3 linked regions of the Arabidopsis thaliana genome follow. The protein of the gene in region 1 purifies or fractionates together with the protein of each later gene. This does not show direct contact. Each region holds a gene or a part of one and is shown in the gene's direction. Other genes may lie near its edges.

Region 1 (7,221 bases):
CAACAAATTTGTAAGATACTTAGGGTTCTTGATTGGATTCAGAGATAATAAAGAGTTTCTTTTTTTTGCAGTTTAAGCCAAAAACATGTGAAGTTCAGGCTCACAAAGGTGATACGATCAAGGTGCACTATAGGGTAAGTTTTTGCTAGATCTTATAACAAAATTGGGATTCATTATTGTCATGAAGAAATGTTTATTGTTGTTTTTGTTGTTGTGTAACTTAGTGTTGTTATGTGGCAGGGGAAACTTACTGATGGAACTGTATTCGATTCGAGTTTTGAAAGGGGTGATCCGTTTGAGTTTAAATTAGGAAGTGGTCAGGTTATCAAAGGTAGTGACTTGCTTTTGGCTTTTGAGTATCTCTTTTCTTTTAACATTTTCTTAATTCCTTCAATGGTAATTTTCGGTTTTGTTGCAGGTTGGGATCAAGGTTTGCTAGGAGCGTGTGTAGGTGAGAAGAGGAAGTTAAAGATACCTGCTAAACTTGGATATGGAGAACAAGGCTCTCCACCTACTATCCCCGGTATAAATACGCTTCATCAATAAGCTTTTAAAATGTGTATTCATGTTTGTGAAAAAAATACGGGATTTCGACATTATAACTAAAAACAACCTTGCAAACTTCAGGTGGTGCAACACTGATCTTTGACACAGAGCTTATTGCGGTAAATGAAAAACCAGCTGGTGGTGAAGAATACGGAGGGGATGAAGATGATGAGGGATATGGAAATGACGAGCTATGATCCGGTCTCCGTTCTTTAACGATTTTGCTTCAAGAGTTCTCTGGATAATACAAAGAAACCATCTATGGGAGGGTTTTTTCTAGTCTTTTGGCTTTTAGGCGTAAAGACTGCAGATGATTGTTATGGTGATATTTAACATTTTCTTTTCATAATTGGCTCAACTTCAATTAGTTAGCCAAAGCAAATTACACAGTACGGCTTAGCGACCTCAATGGTGATCTATGCGCAGAATGAGAGGGGTCAAGAAAAATCTTAGGCAGTGTCGTCTTACAAAAAAAAAAAGACAACTACAATGGCAAAATACAAAAGTTTACCATCAATGCTTTTGTGAAACTCTTTGCTATTATTTTGACCTCAATCCACCAAATTCTCAATGGTCAGTGGATCAATGATTCTAAACATTGAACACTAAACATATCTACGAAAGCAGAACAAATAAATAAATTTCTTCAACCTTCATTTCTCACAAGATAGAATAATGGCATGAGTTCAGCTGTTGTTATGCTTCACCATTCTTTTTGTATCTGTGTCCCTTCTGGACATTGTTTCAGCTCACTTGAAGATTAAGCCATCTTTACCTCAAATTCCAGATCCGCAAACGGTGAAGGATGTAGAGCCTTGCACCGTTAAAGTAGTGATGGTCTTTGTGTCGGACCTCGAGAAAGAATGTTCTAAGACAACTAGACAAGTAAATTCAAATTTACTTCGAAATACATTCTTTTCTTGAAGGTGAAAATGTATGGCTAATGAAACATTTTATTTACTTCATCTTGCATATGTATAACAGATTAAGAAAGAAATTCAAGAAGAGAAAATGGATGTCATAAATACCTTTAAATTTATGAGAACTGAGGCGGGAAAGATTATAGGTAGCCGCAAGAAAGAGGAGAGCGAAGAATCCATGAAGCTAGCAGCTCAACATCAAAAAGAAATCAAAGAAGGGATCTTGAAATGGAGACGGTTATTACTCGGATCACAAACACAATTGTTGTAAACACAACAAACTCTTTTTCAATGGAAAGTTCTACAAGCGGAAAAGGAAGTTCTAGCGATAATAGCAAAAGCTTTGGTAGCTTCATTAGCGGAGGCGCTTTCACAGACACTACAGGTTCAGGCTCTAACTTAGGCATTCCTGTAGTTCCTGAACTACCGGTAGAAGCTTGCTAGTGCTAGTGGAAGTCCTACGAGCAATCCTTCTGGCAGTGGGGTTTCCTTTACGGACACTACTGGTGGAAGCTCCATTAGTCCTACTGAAAGTGGAAGTGCTGGATCAGCAACTCAGAAAAACGCTATAACATTGACACAAGTTGAGGCTGAGACTTCCAAAGAAGTCATGATATTCATAATAAACCTCGAAAAAAAGTGTCCACCAAAGGAGGAATACGAGGTCTTCTTTGAGAAACTCAAGGGTATAATGGCTGCACGCTCAAAGAATTCTCCCAAAAGCAAAAAAAGTTTCTTCTCTACGATCAAATATGCTGCTGGGAAACTATCTGATGACATGACATTTATGCGGTCAAGAATTGGAACCAAATCAGCAAAGGTACAAAAAAGATACGTCTCTTTCTGTTGTTACTTGCTACATGTTCTTCTAACTCACAATATAGGTGAAGCAGTCCATGGAAACTTACCAAAAAGAAGTGAAGACTATCAAAGAGTTAGAAACCATCCATAGTAGAATAGTAAGTTAGAATAAAGGCAAGAAAGATGGGTATTTGACATGCACAACGGCACAACAAACAGAGATTAAGAAGACAATCACTAAGTGGGAACAAGTCACAACCAAATTCGTTGAGACCGCTATTCAGAGCGAGACATCTACAACTTCTTCCTCTTCTCCCGGCAAGATCAAGTCAACTTGAACTCAAAGGCATAACTATACATAAACTAGTTAGCCACAAATCATAAAAAAAATTGAACCAACCATACGAAATACAGATCAATTAACTAGCTAATAATTTTAGTTTTTGTGTTTATTGTAAATAAAACCACGGCTATAGATATTTCAAAAAGATAAATCGTTTAAGTCTTTATGCTCTTTTTAATTTTTATTAGTCAAGGATGATGAATAGTAAATTGTATAAAATAAAATATTATTTGATTTAGAATAATAAAAAAAAATCTAGTCACAAAAATAATGCTTCTATAATCAAATTTTAAATTTTAAGTATTTAAAATGATTCAAAACTTGTGTGTTTTTAAAAAATTAATTTATTAATTTTAGATTAACGAGACCCGCTCAAAAGAAAAATAAAAAGTGTTCTAACAAATAAAAATAAAAATCACGCTAACAGTCAGTATCTGGAAACATCGGGACACATCTTTAGGCTCAAGGATTCAAATGAAAATCAGAAGTCTCTAGAAAAACCCCAAAACACTCTTTCTTCACTCCCCCTATAAATTCTCATCACAATTTCTCAAACCATCTCATCTCTGCCAACACACTCTCTAGAATTCTCTCGTGATTATCGATTTCACTCTCTTAAATTTGATCAGAAAATGGAAGACGATTTCGACACGCAGAACCAGTTTCCGGAAGAGGAGCCAGAGGAGATGGATATGGATCTCCCCGACAATGACGAAGCTGACTCTGCTCCTTATCTGAAAATCGGCGAGGAAATGGAGATCGGAAAATCAGGATTGAAGAAGAAACTTGTTAAGGAATGTGAAAAATGGGACACGCCTGAGAACGGTGACGAAGTTGAAGGTAATTTGAAATTGCTGAAGTCTGATCTGATGATAATATATGTGTGAATCAGGTTCTCAGATTGTGTTTTCTTTTGCAGTGCATTACACTGGAACTTTGTTAGATGGTACCAAGTTTGATTCGAGCCGTGACAGAGGAACTCCTTTCAAATTTACTCTTGGCCAAGGTACTTTTCTATTTTGCAACAATATTTGTGAGGCCTATGTATTCGGATTTGGATCGGATTTTTTCGGATTCGGATAATATTATAGGATCATATTAAGGCTGTTGTCTTCTTTGAGGCCGGTTTGTGAGAGAAGTTTTGGTTGAGAGTTTGTTTTGATCGATAGTTACTATTTAATTACGGTGTCTTTCGAGTTCTGAATTTTGTTTTGGTTTGGAATGGTCAGGACATGTCATTAAAGGATGGGACTTGGGGATCAAGACAATGAAGAAAGGTGAAAATGCTATTTTCACCATTCCTCCTGAGCTGGCATATGGTGAAACCGGTTCACCGCCGACTATACCTCCGAACGCTACTCTTCAGTTTGATGTGGAGTTGATAGCATGGAGGAGTGTTAAGGATATATGTGGTGATGGTGGTGTGTCTAAGAAAATAATTGTGGAAGGAGAAAAATGGGAGAAGCCAAAAGACCTTGATGAAGTTTACGGTGCGTGTTTTTCGTCTTCCTATGATTTTGGTTTGATTCTTTGTGCTGGAATATAGTCTTGTCGATGTTGTTGGTTCTGATTTGTTTTATGGTTTGGTACCGTGGCAGTCAAGTATGAAGCTCGGCTTGAGGATGGCACCATTGTTGGAAAGTCTGATGGTGTAGAGTTTACTGTCAAGGAGGGTTAGTATTTTTTTTTCTCAACCGGATATTATTAGCTATTCGAGGATCTAAATACTTCTCGTGTAATAGGCCATTTCTGTCCTGCGCTTTCTAAGGCTGTCAAAACCATGAAAAGAGGGGAGAAGGTTCTCCTGACTGTGAAGCCACAATGTGAGTATTTTATTTGGTGTTTGTCCTTATTTAGCGATGAATCAGTGAATTTAGATTGATGTGTGACACTCTGACTTGTACAGATGGATTTGGGGAATTTGGAAGACCAGCTTCTGATGGTCTTCAAGCTGCAATCCCACCAAATGCAACCCTTCAGATTGACCTTGAGTTGGTTTCTTGGAAGACTGTGGTGGAAGTAACTGATGACAGGAAGGTTATTAAGAAAATACTCAAGGAAGGAGAAGGATATGAGCGTCCCAATGAAGGAGCGATTGTCAAATGTTAGCATCTATCTTTAAGGGTCTTATCTGAAGACCTCCTCTACGCTATGGTTAAGCTATGTGATCTGACAACGAGTTTTTTGTTGCAGTGAAGTTGATTGGTAAACTTCAAGATGGAACAACCGTGTTTGTGAAGAAAGGTCATGAAGAAGATGAGGAGCCGTTCGAGTTCAAGATTGATGAAGGTATAATATTCATATATACAGAACTTGGAATATTGTTTCCTTTTTGTATTTGACATTTCACGGCTATGATATTAAATGACAGAGGATTGGTGATCTGTGCAGAACAAGTGATAGAAGGGCTTGAAAAAGCTGTGATGGGCATGAAGAAGGGTGAGGTAGCACTCATCACAATTTCACCGGAATATGCTTTTGGTTCCTCTGAATCAAAACAGGAGCTGGCTGTAATACCGCCAAACTCGACTGTATACTATGAGGTCGAGTTGGTATCTTTCATCAAGGTGAGAGGATTCACTTTCTGAGTGTTGTTTCTTTCTTTATGAAGAAACTTAAGTGTGCTAATGATATCGTCTCTCTTGATGCAGGAGAAAGAGTCTTGGGATATGAACACACAGGAAAGGATAGAAGCTGCAGGCAAGAAGAAAGAAGAAGGCAATGTGTTGTTCAAAGCTGGAAAATACGCAAGAGCTTCAAAGAGATACGAGAGGGTTTGGGATTTGGTCCTAGTATTTGCTAAAGAAACTTATGTTTTTGTTTAGATTTTAACATCAAGTTTTGATTGCAGGGTGTCAAATATATAGAATATGACTCAACTTTCGACGAAGAGGAGAAAAAGAAATCAAAAGATCTCAAGATTGCCTGTAACCTGAATGATGCAGCTTGCAAGCTGAAACTGAAAGATTACAAGGAAGCAGCAAAATTGTCCACAAAGGTAAAAACAAAACATTTCAGTTTCAGTAATTTTGGATATTACAATTGGAGATGAACGACTAAGTAGTGAATGAAACGAATGTGAATAGGTGTTGGAGATGGATAGTAGGAACGTGAAGGCAATGTATAGGAGAGCACATGCCTACTTGGAGACGGCGGATCTTGATCTGGCTGAGCTTGATATCAAGAAAGCTCTCGAAATCGATCCAGACAACAAGTGAGTAATTTTCTATTGGTCCTTTGTTTTTTTCGTTGCGATGTATTCTAATTTCCAACATGGGTATGCACAGGGAGGTGAAGATAGAATATAAGAAGTTGAAGGAGAAGGTGAAAGAGTATAACAAGAAAGATGCTAAGTTTTACAGCAACATGTTGTCGAAAATGCTTGAGCCACACGTAAGTAGTTTCTTAAAAAGGAGAGTTTCAATGGGTAAAAATAGGGAAAGCTTTATTGAGCTGATAATATTCTGGTTTGTATGAACTGTGATTGTGCAGAAAGGAACTCAGAAGGAAGCACAAGCGATGAGTATTGACACCAAGGCATGAGTCTTTGAATCACTTTAGAGAGTCGCATTGATTCCAAAAACTAAATGTGAAAAGTCTACAAATTTCTGTTTTTACTCTTTGTAATCAATCTTGGTGTGTGTTACTGTTTCAGAGTTGTTATAAAACAGACTTGTAATAAACGAGGATCTACTCCAAGTTAATGACCCCAATAGCTTGATATATCATATCTAGTAGTTATGTTCTATCTACCTATTGTTCAAAAACAAAAAAGTTCTATCTACCTAATAATATTTAAATCTAGGTTAATATAGAAACAATATTCAGAATATCTAAAAATGTGTGATCATCATATATATTCAACTTTACATATTCAATAATTATATATATATATATATATATGTTGATTTGATGGATGAAGCTCTAATTAATATGGAAAACCTTTTGTGATGGAATTATATTATATGTGCTAGTTTAATGGTTTTGACCTAGCTATACGGTGACTGCTTGACGGGACTATCAAAATTAGTGTACAAATCCAACGTAAAGTATCTTTGATTCGCATCTTATTTGTTTAAATTTCTATAAATAGGCCGGGTCAAATATTTCAACGTAACGTTTTATATTTATAACAAGTTTTTGGTTACCAAAGATATAGATTTTCCAATAGATTGTTATAAAAGATATATTAATATTTAATGGGTTAACACTACATAATCAAAAAGAAATGGACCACTCTAATGGATTTGGGAAATGTTCGAAAAGAAAAGAAGAATAAGCTTTCTTCAACATAATAAGTAGTGATTTGCCACTGTACAACATTTGTGAAGATAAAAAGTATATCACATGTACACTGTCATTACTTTGTAACCATTTTTTAATATCATTAAATTTCCGAGTGAGATGCAACTACTCTTCGATATTAAAAATATAAAAACCACCCACATTCAAAGCATCTTCTACTTTTTATTCTAGTGATCAAAATAGAATGGATTAAATTAAAGTATTAGTAAACAAAAGCAAATTATAATTCACCCTACCTATTCCTGCGTCCAATAATTCAATCTCCAGTTCTTAATTATGAATTTATAACTAAAGCTGCAAGTGAAG
Region 2 (7,221 bases), on another chromosome or scaffold:
CCCCATTTTTAAAACCCAACCCCTTTCGGCAACCTCTTCCTTCATCTCCAACCCCTTTGACAACTCCGATAATTTATTCGGATATCATCTACTTCGCGTATATATTCTGTTACTGTACACCCTCACCTTCTTTATGTTAATTGTTTGACGAATATAAATTAATTTATGTCCATTGCTTATGATTGGCTAAGACATGGTTTGGATTCATGAATCCTTGATAATGATTTGTACGTACGTCGACTACCGTATATTCCATGTCTGATCATGTCTTCAGGTCAACCAAATAGAAACATACCAGAAATAAGTCAATAAATCAAGCGTTCCAAATCTATAGGCACGTTTTTGTTCATTTGTCTTCTCCACGATCGGTGATCCGATCACTTAAGTAAAGAGACGATTTTTTAAATGTTGAGGTTATAAAAACGAAAACGATTGCGTGAAGCTAGAGGGTGTGTGTGATTTTATCTTTGCTGAGTAAAATATTAGCGGACAAGATCAAACCGCAACTTGAGTCTTGGTGGATAAGGATTAAGGAGACAGGGCAAGTGCATTGTTTCTTAAAAACATCCCAAGAACTTCTCCAAGTGTCATTAGGAGTGACATAAAACATTTTCTTCTAATTTCTAAAATGATCCTTTTTCTGATTTATTTGTTCTCTTTTCAAAACGACTAATCATTCCATAAAAGTAAAAAATTTGTAAGGATTAAGTCTAGATTTCAATAGATGTATATATAATTAAAATTGTTAAAATCCAAACCGACCATCGAACATGGTATAATTTGTTCAAAAATCTAATGATAGACTCGAAAGTTTGTGTTGTACATGACATATCCACGTGGGAAATTTTACAAAGATGAGACTTTACAAATCGAAAAGACAAGTGTACAAGAATAGTCCATGTCAGAAACAAAAAAAATTGCAACTTTATTTCACGTTCACATTTTCTGTTTTGCAGTTCCAAAACACGCATATAAATAGCTTCGTGTTGCACAAGTACGACATATGAAAGTTGGCACACATGGAGAAACAGAGCATCAGAAACACTTGTTCTTCTTCTTTAATGTTATCCTCACCATCTTCTTTTTGGGTTCGTGGTGCGTGTATCGGCAGAGGTTGTTTCGGTGCAGTTAGTACGGCGATCAGCAAAACCAACGGTGAAGTTTTCGCCGTGAAATCCGTGGATCTCGCCACGAGTCTCCCCACTCAATCAGAGTCTCTCGAGAACGAAATATCTGTCTTCCGCTCGCTAAAGCCTCACCCTTACATCGTGAAGTTTCTCGGCGACGGAGTCTCGAAAGAAGGAACGACGACGTTTAGGAATCTCTACTTAGAGTATCTCCCAAACGGTGACGTGGCTAGTCACAGAGCCGGAGGAAAAATCGAAGACGAGACTCTGCTCCAGCGTTACACGGCGTGTCTTGTCTCTGCTCTCCGCCACGTACACTCTCAAGGATTCGTTCACTGCGACGTCAAGGCGAGGAACATCCTCGTCAGCCAAAGCTCCATGGTCAAGTTAGCCGATTTTGGGTCGGCGTTCAGAATCCACACACCGAGGGCTCTGATCACGCCACGTGGAAGTCCGCTTTGGATGGCTCCGGAGGTGATCAGACGAGAGTACCAAGGTCCGGAGAGTGACGTCTGGTCTCTCGGCTGCACGATCATCGAGATGTTCACTGGGAAACCCGCTTGGGAAGACCACGGAATTGACTCGCTGAGTCGAATCAGTTTCTCTGACGAGTTACCGGTTTTCCCCTCGAAGTTGTCGGAAATCGGCCGTGATTTCCTAGAAAAGTGTCTGAAGCGAGACCCGAATCAGAGGTGGAGTTGCGATCAGCTTTTGCAGCATCCATTTCTCTCTCAGTGTCACAACTCATCTCCGACTGAGTCATCTCCGCGTTGCGTACTTGACTGGGTCAACTCGGGGTTTGACTTAGAAGAAGAAGAAGAGGAAGTAGGGAGATCAGAATTCGAAGACGCGGCGAAGGCAATAATTTGTAATTTGGCGACGACCGGAGGAGTAATTTGGGAGTCAGATGGTTGGGTGGAAGTTAGATGCCACGCTTCGGAAGAGGAAGGGACAACAATGGAATATTCGGGATCCACAAGGGTAGAATCGGAATATAACACATCATCGGATCCAAACGATGACGTGGCTGGTGACTCGGCGATAATTGACGTTTCTATGTCTCAGAATTTACCGCCTGGAAACGGGGGATCGGCGGCGGCGCTGCCATATGAATTTGTGGTGGTTTTACATTTATTAATGGAAATTATGGTTTATACTACATGTATCTTTAGGGAAATTGTTCTCACTATGTATTTGTTGTATCAGTATAATCAAAGCAATAAACTCGAAACGTTGTCTTTTAATCACAGCCTCAAGTTTTGTTTGTTTGCACATGTGATTCGGATCGGACAAAACTATCTTTTACGCGGTGAGATGAGATCGAGTGTCTTAATTACGAGCCATTGCCTTATATTGATAACTCTCGTTTACAGCCAAATAGTTGTATTTTAATGTGAAAAAATATTGCGACAAATGGTTTTGGTTCGTAAGCTGGTGGAAGACTCAAGAGGCCAAAAGAGACTTTGGTTTTATGCTTTAGAAGACTTTTGATTCATCCTAATAAGTATTCGGATTTTGGAGCATTTAAATGAATCATAGAGGGAACCGGACCGGTTGAAGATGGTTGTTTGTTTCGACTAGGCCTGAAGGACCAAGGTTATGCATGTACGATTATGTATCAAACTGAACGAAGTCGTTACATAGAGTTTAGCTCAAGCATATCATCATATTCTTTTTTCGATCTTTAAGATTTTTCTCTAATCTCTATGCTATAAATCATTAAGATTTCTCTAAAAAAGGATTAATTTCCCTTGAGATAAATAGCTTTAAAAATAACCCAGATACAATGGGTTTATATGGGCCATATATATTTTTTGTCATAAGAAATCGGCCCATAGTTAGCTTCAATTCAACGCCGTATAACTATGAGTCGTTCCGATTTCCTGTGTTGCGAAACCCCCAAATTCTCTTCTCTCTATCTCTCTCGCGTACGCCGCACCGTAGCGACCAATTGAATCCACGAGGAAATCTCAGTAAATACTATGGCGACCAACGAACCCGAGCACGAGCACAGAGACGAGGAAGAGGCCGGAGCTAACGAGGATGAGGACACCGGAGCTCAGGTCGCTCCGATCGTTAGGCTTGAGGAGGTTGCCGTCACTACCGGCGAGGAAGACGAAGATGCCGTCCTTGATCTGTAAGTGTTTTTCTTAATTGGTGTTTATAGTTTTTCTGATCTAGGTCAACTGGATCTGATCGAATTTATAAGGTTTAGCTTTTGGTGTGTTTGACTGAATTTTTGTTTGTGAATCTAAAGGAAATCGAAGCTTTATCGATTCGATAAGGATGCGAATCAGTGGAAGGAGAGAGGAGCTGGTACTGTGAAGTTCTTAAAGCATAAGAACACTGGGAAGATTCGTCTCGTTATGAGGCAATCTAAAACTTTGAAGATCTGTGCTAATCACTTCGGTATAATTTCTATTTGGACTACTTTGTGTTGTTTTTGAGTTGCATCTGGATCTGTATTTAGGTTACTGTTTCCTTATCTAGTCTTATGCTTCTGATATTTCTGCAGTTAAATCGGGCATGAGTGTTCAGGAACACGTTGGGAATGAAAAGTCATGTGTGTGGCACGCTCGTGACTTTGCTGATGGTGAACTCAAGGATGAGCTTTTCTGTATCCGATTTGCTTCTATTGAGAGTGAGTATGAAACCGAATTTTGTAATGGCTTGTGTTTTGCCTTATTTAGTCTCAGTTGGTTTGATAGATTCACGGATTAGATTACTGATGGATCTTGACCTTAGCATTGCTATATGGCTACTTTGTTAATTGGAGGTTCTCAAAGCTTCCATCATAGGCATGCGTTATTGGGTTCAGGAAATATCAAAATAAGTACTGTGGCGGTTAGGTTGTGGTATTGCATTGTAAAGAGATAATATTGTTCTTGAGGTGGTCAAGTATGTATTTAGGCTGCAACTAATTTGATATGCCAACATGGTCGACTGTTTCTTTTTTTATTTTGGGTAAATATTATCAGTAGTTTCTGAGCTGTTGATCATATTAACCGGGAAAAGTAGAGATGCTTGTGGGTAATCAAATCTTATTTTCCTTGTCAGATTGCAAAACATTTATGCAAAAGTTCAAGGAAGTTGCTGAGTCTGAAGAAGAGAAAGAAGAGAGCAAAGATGCCGCTGACACTGCTGGCCTTCTTGAGAAATTGACTGTGGAAGAGACAAAAACGGAGGAGAAAACCGAAGCGAAAGCTGTGGAGACGGCAAAGACTGAAGTGAAAGCAGAAGAAAAGAAAGAGAGCGAGGCAGAGAAATCTGGTGAAGCAAAGAAAACAGAAGAAAGTGGTCCCTCAACATAAGAAGCGTCATCATTTAAGTTGCCAAATCCTGGCGAGGTAATTAAGCCTCGAAATGTTTTGATGCATCATGAGTCTACCATTGTCTTGGCACTATCTATCTATACATGTTTTGTCGAGTCATATCAAGTGGTTGGGGGATCGCTTGGGGTCGGGTTTTACTGAATGCTGAGTCGTTATGGGTCTAATAGTTTTTGAGTCTAAAGTGTCGGGTGATATGAGAGATTTGGGTGAAATATTTTTTCATGTTGGTTATCTGAAAGAGTACATTGGTTTCATTGTTTTAAGTTTTCTCATGGATCCTTTTTGGATGGTCTTATTTTGAGGATACAAATGTGTTTGTCCATGGACAAGAATCAGAAGTCTCCATTTTTTTTTTTTCAAAATTTAATGCATGTGATTTTTTAATCTTAAGGTAATTGCCAATTGTTTGACAAAAAAAAGGTAATTGCCAATCTACTTTGCTCTCTTGTGTTAGTCGATGCTAGTCTTGACCCTGATAAAGATCCAAAATGTATATTAACAGTATTCATAAAATTCTTCAGTTATAACGAACTGTTCACGGAAAAAAAATGACATTGTACTATACTGTGCTAAAATTACCAAAGCATGATTTATATAAATCATATCCAGTAAGACCATATGTGAATGAATAACAATGGATTATGCTTAGGTTAAGATTTTATTAAATTTATAACACTTTTAAAATAAATTTGGAATAATACAAACATATAAACCATTCCTATAACACCATATTTAAACATAACAATGAATTGCTTGGATTTCAAACTTTATTAAATTTGGATTTTAAATTTTAATTTGATTGAATTATACCCCCTTAATTGGATAAATTCAAATATGTCAACTTTTTTTTTTTGTAAGATTTTTTTATGGAAAAAAAAATTGATTATTCACTAAAAAGATGACAGGTTACTTATAATTTAATATATGTAAACCCTAAAAAGAAGAAAATAGTTTCTGTTTTCACTTTAGGTCTTATTATCTAAACTTCTTTAAGAAAATCGCAATAAATTGGTTTGAGTTCTAACTTTAAACACATTAATATTTGTGTGCTATTTAAAAAATAATTTACAAAAAAAAAAACAAATTGACAGAAAATATCAGGTTTTGTAATAAGATATTTCCTGATAAATATTTAGGGAATATAACATATCAAAAGATTCAAATTCTGAAAATCAAGAATGGTAGACATGTGAAAGTTGTCATCAATATGGTCCACTTTTCTTTGCTCTATAACCCAAAATTGACCCTGACAGTCAACTTGTACACGCGGCCAAACCTTTTTATAATCATGCTATTTATTTCCTTCATTTTTATTCTATTTGCTATCTAACTGATTTTTCATTAACATGATACCAGAAATGAATTTAGATGGATTAATTCTTTTCCATCCACGACATCTGGAAACACTTATCTCCTAATTAACCTTACTTTTTTTTTAGTTTGTGTGCTCCTTCATAAAATCTATATTGTTTAAAACAAAGGTCAATAAATATAAATATGGATAAGTATAATAAATCTTTATTGGATATTTCTTTTTTTAAAAAAGAAATAAATCTTTTTTGGATATTTTCGTGGCAGCATCATAATGAGAGACTACGTCGAAACTGCTGGCAACCACTTTTGCCGCGTTTAATTTCTTTCTGAGGCTTATATAAATAGATCAAAGGGGAAAGTGAGATATAATACAGACAAAACAAGAGAAAAGATAAAGAAAATGGGTTTGAGAAGAACATGGTTGGTTTTGTACATTCTCTTCATCTTTCATCTTCAGCACAATCTTCCTTCCGTGAGCTCACGACCTTCCTCAGTCGATACAAACCACGAGACTCTCCCTTTTAGTGTTTCAAAGCCAGACGTTGTTGTGTTTGAAGGAAAGGCTCGGGAATTAGCTGTCGTTATCAAAAAAGGAGGAGGTGGAGGAGGTGGAGGACGCGGAGGCGGTGGAGCACGAAGCGGCGGTAGGAGCAGGGGAGGAGGAGGTGGCAGCAGTAGTAGCCGCAGCCGTGACTGGAAACGCGGCGGAGGGGTGGTTCCGATTCATACGGGTGGTGGTAATGGCAGTCTGGGTGGTGGATCGGCAGGATCACATAGATCAAGCGGCAGCATGAATCTTCGAGGAACAATGTGTGCGGTCTGTTGGTTGGCTTTATCGGTTTTAGCCGGTTTAGTCTTGGTTCAGTAGGGTTCAGAGTAATTATTGGCCATTTATTTATTGGTTTTGTAACGTTTATGTTTGTGGTCCGGTCTGATATTTATTTGGGCAAACGGTACATTAAGGTGTAGACTGTTAATATTATATGTAGAAAGAGATTCTTAGCAGGATTCTACTGGTAGTATTAAGAGTGAGTTATCTTTAGTATGCCATTTGTAAATGGAAATTTAATGAAATAAGAAATTGTGAAATTTAAACCTCCCTCAATCTTAAACGTTATATCTTTTAAACGCTAACTTGTTAAAGTGACCAATGGATGATTTAATCATCATGATTATTATTATTCTTCATTGGCCAATTATTGTGGGCTTATTAGATTCAAATTTGGTTCTCCTCTGTTGTGTGTTTAGACTATCAATTATATAAAAAAAAGACTAATGATGGTAAAACTCAGCGTTTAACTTATCTTTTTTTCTTGAGAAATTTCTAATAAATTTGAAATAAAGACCAAAATAATAAAATCGCAATACATATGGTTTTCAAAGATTTTGCATACGAAATATTACAAAATAAACTTAAACATAGAGACCAAAAGAAACTTAAACATAGA
Region 3 (7,221 bases), 4.0 Mb from region 1:
GCTTCCTTTTTTGTTTTCCACGAAAAAGCAAAAGAATGGGTTCTCTTCTTCCTCTTCTTGGCATCTCAGTAGTCTCCGCCATTTTCTTTCTGGTTCTTCAACAACCAGAACAATCTTCTTCAGCCATTATACTGAGCTTGAAGAAACGCCATGGAAGCTCCTCTGGTAGTAGTGGTAACCAGTACAGTTCAAGCAGACCATCAGCTGGTTTCCAAGGGAACAGGAGCACGTGCTCTCTCTTCCTCGGCACGTGGGTTCGTGATAACTCTTATCCTCTCTATAAACCGGCGGATTGTCCCGGCGTCGTTGAGCCTGAGTTCGATTGTCAGATGTACGGTCGTCCTGACTCTGACTACCTCAAGTATCGATGGCAACCTCAGAATTGCAATTTACCCACGTATGTACACATACTCATCTTCTTCTTCTTTCTTTTTTGTCATAAAGTTTTCTAATTTTCGTGGTTAAATCTTTGAGTTTTCTGGTAATAGTGTATACCTGTGTCGTTATTGGTAATGAGGTTCGATTTCGTCAGAATTTTACTGAGCTAAGTTGTCAAAATGTATTCTTTTGGCAAACCCATTTGAAAGAATTCTACTTTAAGATATTACGACTGCTCAAAATCAGAGATTCTGTGGTTTTAGTGTTTGATTTCTGGTCTTTCACAAATGGATTAGGTTCAATGGTGCTCAGTTTCTGTTGAAAATGAAGGGCAAAACCATAATGTTTGCGGGTGATTCATTGGGGAAGAATCAATGGGAGTCTTTGATCTGCCTTATTGTTTCATCTGCACCGTCCACTCGGACAGAAATGACCAGAGGCTTGCCTCTCTCCACCTTCAGATTCTTGGTAATGCTTTCTTCTTATTCTTCAATGGCTCACATCTTGTTTTTCAGGTTCTTCTATAAGAAAACTGTTTTTTGATGTATAGGATTATGGGATAACAATGTCATTTTACAAAGCTCCGTTCTTGGTGGACATAGATGCTGTTCAAGGCAAGCGTGTGTTGAAGCTGGATGAGATCTCTGGTAATGCCAATGCTTGGCATGACGCTGATCTCCTCATCTTCAACACTGGTCACTGGTGGAGCCACACCGGATCTATGCAAGGGTAAGTTACCACACTTCCAATGACTTGATTTTCTAGTGTGAAAGTTTCTTTATATATCTTCTTGTGAACACAGATGGGACTTGATTCAATCAGGCAATTCTTATTACCAAGACATGGACCGTTTTGTGGCAATGGAGAAAGCACTTCGTACTTGGGCGTATTGGGTCGAAACTCACGTTGATAGATCCCGAACACAAGTCTTGTTCCTCTCCATTTCTCCAACACACGACAAGTAACTCAGCCTCTCTTGTTATATTGGATCATATTTTCTGATGTTTTTGAAATGAATGTCCTGACACCATTTGTATACATTTTGGGATTGATCAGCCCGAGTGACTGGGCGGCATCATCGTCTTCAGGATCCAAGAACTGCTACGGAGAAACAGAACCGATCACAGGAACAGCTTATCCAGTGAGCTCCTACACAGATCAGCTAAGATCAGTGATTGTTGAAGTGCTTCACGGGATGCACAATCCGGCGTTTCTTCTCGACATAACACTCCTCTCTTCCCTAAGAAAAGACGGTCATCCGTCAGTATACAGCGGCCTCATTAGCGGTTCACAAAGGTCTAGACCAGACCAGTCTGCAGATTGTAGCCATTGGTGTTTGCCTGGTTTACCTGATACATGGAACCAGTTGTTGTATACGCTTCTCATCTATTAGCTTCTTTTTAAATCTCTTTCCATCAAATTATTCGGTTAGTAATATTTTAACACATTCGAAGAGAGAATCTTAAGATTAATCACGGAATCAGTCAATTGTATAAACTTTTTGAGGAAATTTTCTTTCAAATGAATTATAATTTTTATTCCATGCAAACAAAGCATAGTAACAAGAAATTTAACAATGGCAAGCCCAAAACAAACAGTATTGGGCTTTTAAAAAAATACATTCGATGGGCTTATTGGAAAAAAGCCTTTTAGGGTTTTCTCAAAACCTCTCTACTATAAATAGAGGAAATCCAACTTTAGAGTTTAAGAAGAAGCAATCCAAAATCAATTCACTGAAAAGCTTCGTTTTTAATCCTGTAGTTTTCATAGGGTTTGGTGTTCTCTCTATTGTTGTTATTGGGCTTGCCTTTTGTCTAGGATTATCATGATTTATGTTTATTGAAAGATTGGCTTCATCAGATAGTCTATGTGGATTTGTTCGTTCCCATATGATTCGTTCCCTTGAAGCAAAATCAATCGTGTTGCTTTCGTTATTTATATAATTCTCCCTATGAATCTTCGGTGATTTCGTATTTATACGATTTTTGCTGATGTTGATTTGGGAGAATCACAACTGAGCAGCTATATATTATTCGTATTGAAATCTAGATTTGGGTTTTTGTATAAGTTTTTGGAAGAACAGTGATGAGTCAGTTTACAGACCTGTAATGATTGCGGTAATGATCGCATTATTATGAACATCTAAGGGACTGAGTTCTTCTTTCTAATATGATTTAACAACTTCAATTTGTTTTTGTTGGTTAATGTTTTTTTGTTTAATCTGATAAAGAGGCTGATGAAGATTAGATATTAATGGTTACTGAAATTTCAATAAGTGTGTTGATATACTATCTTCTTGACTAGGACTGCTGAGGCTAATCTTTGAATTCTAAGGAATTATGTTTTCTCTTTTTGATTTAATGAAATTAGATTGTGGATGATGAGAACAAATATGAAAAAACAGTTATCCCTGTCTGAGGATTTTAATCCCTTTGATGATTCATTTGTAATCTGACACAACCTTCCAGTTCATATCGTTTTGGGTTTTGCTTGTTGACTATTTATTTCAGACCCTAAATTATACAAACACGAAGATTTGTCATTGAAACAACGCAGCTTCATTCAAAAACGGATTTTAAAATTGGAAATCAGACAAATGACTAAGCGGGTCCCTTTTGACTTTAGCATCAATATTCAATATTACCGTGCCAGTAATAAGAGTTCTCGAGTCCATGAAATGATGTTGTATCAGTTTTCGTTCAGCATTTCAATAAATTCACGATGTTTTGGTCAAAATATCTTACTACCTATCGACTGTTATCGGACTTCAGGTTCTACTCTTTGAGTCGTCGACAATGAAAACGTTTCTTTTTCCTACTGTAACGAGAAGGCAAACAAGTGGTATTTTGTTACGATAAAAAACAGGTCAAAAAAAAAATTTGTTAATTGAATGTTTAACACGTTTCCAAAATTTATAAATGTTCATATTCAGCTTACATTGTACTAGCATCGGCAGTAGTTGATTGAATACTAGTGTCGAGTGACATCAGCTTGATATCAAAGCATGATTGATTACATTATATAATATCCATTTGTAAATAATCCACCTCTCAAAAAAAAAAAAATTAATAAATAAATAATCCACCTCCGTTCATATATAAAGATTGTCACGGTGGTCTACCTTAACACTACAAAGGCAGTCCACGACTGAGAAAAAAAAAGCAGTTCAAATTTTTTTCGTATGTGTTAAGGATGGAGTACATTCATAGAGCATCATCTACATTCTACTCCAAGATAAATGTGGAGTATCTGTATTACTTTTAGTTTTGTAAAGAGATTATACATAATTTAAATATGGTACATTACTCATTACAGGTCTTTGAGCTGTGGCGTTCCTTAGCCATGATGTTTCATCCTCTATATTGTCGATACGAGTTCACACTTTCTAGCTTCATCTACATACCAAAATCATGAATTGTCGTATAGGGCCTTAATGGGCTTAAATGACCGAGATAATGACCTGTTAGCCCACTAGAGATAATTCAGAAGCCTAACTTTGGATATAAAGTTTAAAAACCCTGGTTCCAGTTTTTTCTTCTGGTTCTCGAAACTTCTTCTCCCAAATTGAACAACCAAAGAAGTTGCAGAGCACACACACACACTTTCAAGTTTCAATACAGAGATGGCGAGCACTGAGCCAGAGCGTGAGAACCGTGAAGATGAAACCGAAGTCAACGAAGATGAAGACACCGGAGCTCAGGTAGCTCCGATCGTTAGGCTTGAAGAGGTTGCAGTCACCACCGGCGAAGAAGATGAAGACGCCGTCCTCGATCTGTATGTTACTCGTTCCGTTAATATTCTAGTTTCCTTGCCTCTGGTTAAAGTGAGTGTTGGATTTTCGATAGAAGATGAGTGTCGGATTTTTGATAGAAGATGTATTCTTCTGGGTTTATGATTTTGTAGGAAATCGAAGATGTATCGATTCGATAAAGAAGGGAACCAATGGAAGGAGAGAGGAGCTGGAACTGTGAAGTTATTGAAGCATAAGGAAACTGGAAAAGTTCGTCTTGTTATGAGACAATCTAAAACCCTAAAGATCTGTGCCAATCACCTCAGTATGTTTGATTCTCTCTCGAAGAAGATCTTTTTTTTTTTTCTTCGAAAGGGCTAAACTTTATGTATCTTTTGTTGAAATTATGCAGTTTCGTCTGGGATGAGTGTTCAGGAACATAGTGGGAATGAAAAGTCTTGTTTATGGCACGCTACTGATTTCTCCGACGGCGAGTTGAAAGATGAGCTTTTCTGCATTCGATTTGCTTCCATTGAGAGTAAGTTTATACTTGTGAAATTCGTATACTTGTTTTTGATTGAGAGTAACGTGGGTACATTTAGTAGTATTCGATGTTTAATTTATGATAGTTGAATCAGGGAAGATGGTTTGGAAGGTATTCTTTATAAGACTCTAGTTGTGATGATTTAAGTCTCCCATGAATTGTGATTCATCAAGTCCATATAGATAGCTCAAGACTGAAATGGAATACTGCTTTTGTAGTGGCAATACTTATAATGTTGCCTCATTTTATAATTTTAGGGAGACATTGTTGTCTTGAGAATAAACATCTCAGGCCATTTTCCAAGACTCTGTTGGTCTCTGCGGTTGTGGGTCTTATCACTAAACAAATGAACAAAAGGGTTCCATGATCCTTAAGTTGTGCTAAACAACTACCATAATCGTATCTATGTTAAATTAGACGCTGACATAATCTATGAGATTAATATCCTAGGGTCTGCATCTGTCTTTTTGGTTTTAGATTCTCGAGTGGCTAACTGATAGTGTTGCATCAACAGATTGCAAAACATTTATGGAGAAGTTCACTGAAATAGCTGAAAGCCAGCAAGTAGGGAAAGAGAGCACCCAGGGCGACGAGGCTGCTGGTTTAATAGAGAATCTTTCGGTTGAGGAAAATATAAGTGAGGAGAAAGCCAAGGAAGCAGAAGAGAAAGAGCCTGCAAAGGAAGATAAAGAAACAAAAAAGGAGAAGGTAGAAGAAGAGAAGAAAACAGAGGCAAGCACTTAAGTGATCAAATTAAAATTGGTTGTTGGCATCACTAAGTGTGCTTTGCTTTATTTTAATATATTATACTTGGCACTGAACATGATGGTAGCTTCAAAAGTTTGAGTCTTTGCGCTGTGTTAGAGAAAGAGAATCTTAAGATTTTTTTTTATGTTGTTGCTGTGTAAGTGTTTGACTATTGTGTCGTCTCTTTACTGTGTCAATTTGGTTTAAGATAATAGTATTCGGCATCAAATTAGTATCCTTGCTTTCATCTTCAATCATCCGAAATGGATTTGTGGCCAGCAGGTTACACAATCTGTAATTGACATGTTTGGTGTTGCAGCAAAGGGAACAATCATGTGGTGCTTCTAAGAAGTAAAAACTAGTTAGTTAATTTTGGACCCAACAAATTTGTATGGACCCTAAACCTATAATTCGAAAGGCTCCACCACAAATAACACCATGTTTTAAGCACTTCTCTATCTCTCTTTCACCATTTAATTTCCTCTGACCATGAGCTGTTCCTGCATTGAATATCAGATTTTATCTTTTATGCCTCATTTCTAAGTACCCTTGTATGTGTTTTTCTAAACGTTTATCTTCACAATAGCACTAGTAAGTGGATGTATGATAATTGATACTTTGATGTATGTGCCAACTATTTCTTACATACAATTGTACATTGTAGGCTACAATTTGTAGCACAACTATATTATTACTATTTACTAGAAATGGCGAAAAAAACAAACAATACCGAACATCAAAGTCGAAACTAAACTTTTATAATAAATCATATTTTTTAAAAATCATATTTTAGTTAATTATATGCAAGAATACTTATATTTATATGATTATACGATTATATCCAAACCAAAACCAAAATAAAATGTGGTTTTCTAACTCCGACTCATTTCTCAAAAGTGAAAAGAACCCAAAATGCTTAAACCAAACCAAATCAAGGAACTGAACGCATAAAGCTAAGAGTTACAACATGACCAACAAGGAACAAAAGAAAATAGGTCAAAAAGAAGTAAAGAAGGCTAAATGCTTGGAAGTTGGAAAAATAAAGGCCCAAAATAAGGAGTAGTGTTGTGGTGTTGGCAACTGCAATTGCAATCCTTATTTTATGGGAAGAAGAGTCACTTTTGGTCAATAAAGTTCTTATTATAGACTCCAAATCTCTCCCCCCCCCCCCCCCTCACCTATCTACATTTATATCTTTCTTATTATTTCCATGACTGCCATTTTCATGGAAAGTCATTTTCTCGCACCTGTTTGACAAACAATTATTATACCACTCAAGTACAATACCTGCACTTCTATGTGAATAATGCAAAAATATAAGAAAACTCTTAAATGACCCTTAAGCTAATCGAAATTTAGGAAGCATTATTCTTTTATTCTTTAGTACTATAGTCTATAATATTGAGAAGTGAAAAAAATTATCATTTTAGAGAATCATGGGGATTTGTTCCCTCCGTCGCCTTGACGAGTCACTTAGTTTTGAAGATTTACCATCAAAGACCCTCCTCGGCTCCTCGTGGTTAGGTCCTGCGCACATCGAATATATATGTCGCAGGTATAGATGATATGATACTATAATATATGCTTTTTAAGAAAAACGAATAAAAGTAGTAGTATAAGATTTGATTAATAGAGAAACGTGTAAAGAGGTTTTGATGAAAAAATTGCATAGCGTTCCTCGTCTTCTACTTTTGCTTTATGTTCACGTAAAATCTTCCGATCTCTCACCCTACTTGCCTTCTTTTCTAAGCTAACTTTCATGTGACATCCATTACCTACTTCTCTTGTATTATTACCCATTTCTGATTCTCATTTGTTTATA

The links.
Region 2: the proteins of AT5G48570 (region 1) and SIRANBP fractionate together in Arabidopsis thaliana (co-fractionation; one large-scale study listed by BioGRID). This does not show direct contact.
Region 3: the proteins of AT5G48570 (region 1) and RANBP1 fractionate together in Arabidopsis thaliana (co-fractionation; one large-scale study listed by BioGRID). This does not show direct contact.

The regions. Positions count from the first base shown.
Region 1 is NC_003076.8:19,689,678-19,696,898, reverse strand, and holds AT5G48570 (FKBP-type peptidyl-prolyl cis-trans isomerase family protein), read left to right. Parts: upstream 1-3,053; 5' UTR 3,054-3,242; coding exon 3,243-3,450; intron 3,451-3,529; coding exon 3,530-3,616; intron 3,617-3,839; coding exon 3,840-4,100; intron 4,101-4,208; coding exon 4,209-4,283; intron 4,284-4,352; coding exon 4,353-4,433; intron 4,434-4,516; coding exon 4,517-4,714; intron 4,715-4,803; coding exon 4,804-4,899; intron 4,900-5,001; coding exon 5,002-5,177; intron 5,178-5,261; coding exon 5,262-5,384; intron 5,385-5,461; coding exon 5,462-5,608; intron 5,609-5,696; coding exon 5,697-5,824; intron 5,825-5,897; coding exon 5,898-6,003; intron 6,004-6,102; coding exon 6,103-6,153; 3' UTR 6,154-6,438; downstream 6,439-7,221. Other genes in the region: FKBP15-2 (FK506- and rapamycin-binding protein 15 kD-2), read left to right, coding at 72-134, 241-331, 419-523, 628-743; AT5G48575 (mediator of RNA polymerase II transcription subunit-like protein, putative (DUF1216)), read left to right, coding at 2,077-2,286, 2,351-2,434. UniProt on the Arabidopsis thaliana protein: PPIases accelerate the folding of proteins. It catalyzes the cis-trans isomerization of proline imidic peptide bonds in oligopeptides.
Region 2 is NC_003070.9:2,189,577-2,196,797, reverse strand, and holds SIRANBP (Pleckstrin homology (PH) domain superfamily protein), read left to right. Parts: upstream 1-2,961; 5' UTR 2,962-3,109; coding exon 3,110-3,264; intron 3,265-3,384; coding exon 3,385-3,536; intron 3,537-3,642; coding exon 3,643-3,768; intron 3,769-4,184; coding exon 4,185-4,438; 3' UTR 4,439-5,119; downstream 5,120-7,221. Other genes in the region: MAPKKK13 (mitogen-activated protein kinase kinase kinase 13), read left to right, coding at 1,020-2,519; AT1G07135 (glycine-rich protein), read left to right, coding at 6,174-6,641.
Region 3 is NC_003076.8:23,678,494-23,685,714, reverse strand, and holds RANBP1 (RAN binding protein 1), read left to right. Parts: upstream 1-3,779; 5' UTR 3,780-4,000; coding exon 4,001-4,152; intron 4,153-4,281; coding exon 4,282-4,433; intron 4,434-4,520; coding exon 4,521-4,646; intron 4,647-5,166; coding exon 5,167-5,396; 3' UTR 5,397-5,652; downstream 5,653-7,221. Other genes in the region: PMR5 (Pmr5/Cas1p GDSL/SGNH-like acyl-esterase family protein (DUF828)), read left to right, coding at 36-397, 675-846, 929-1,107, 1,181-1,339, 1,435-1,771.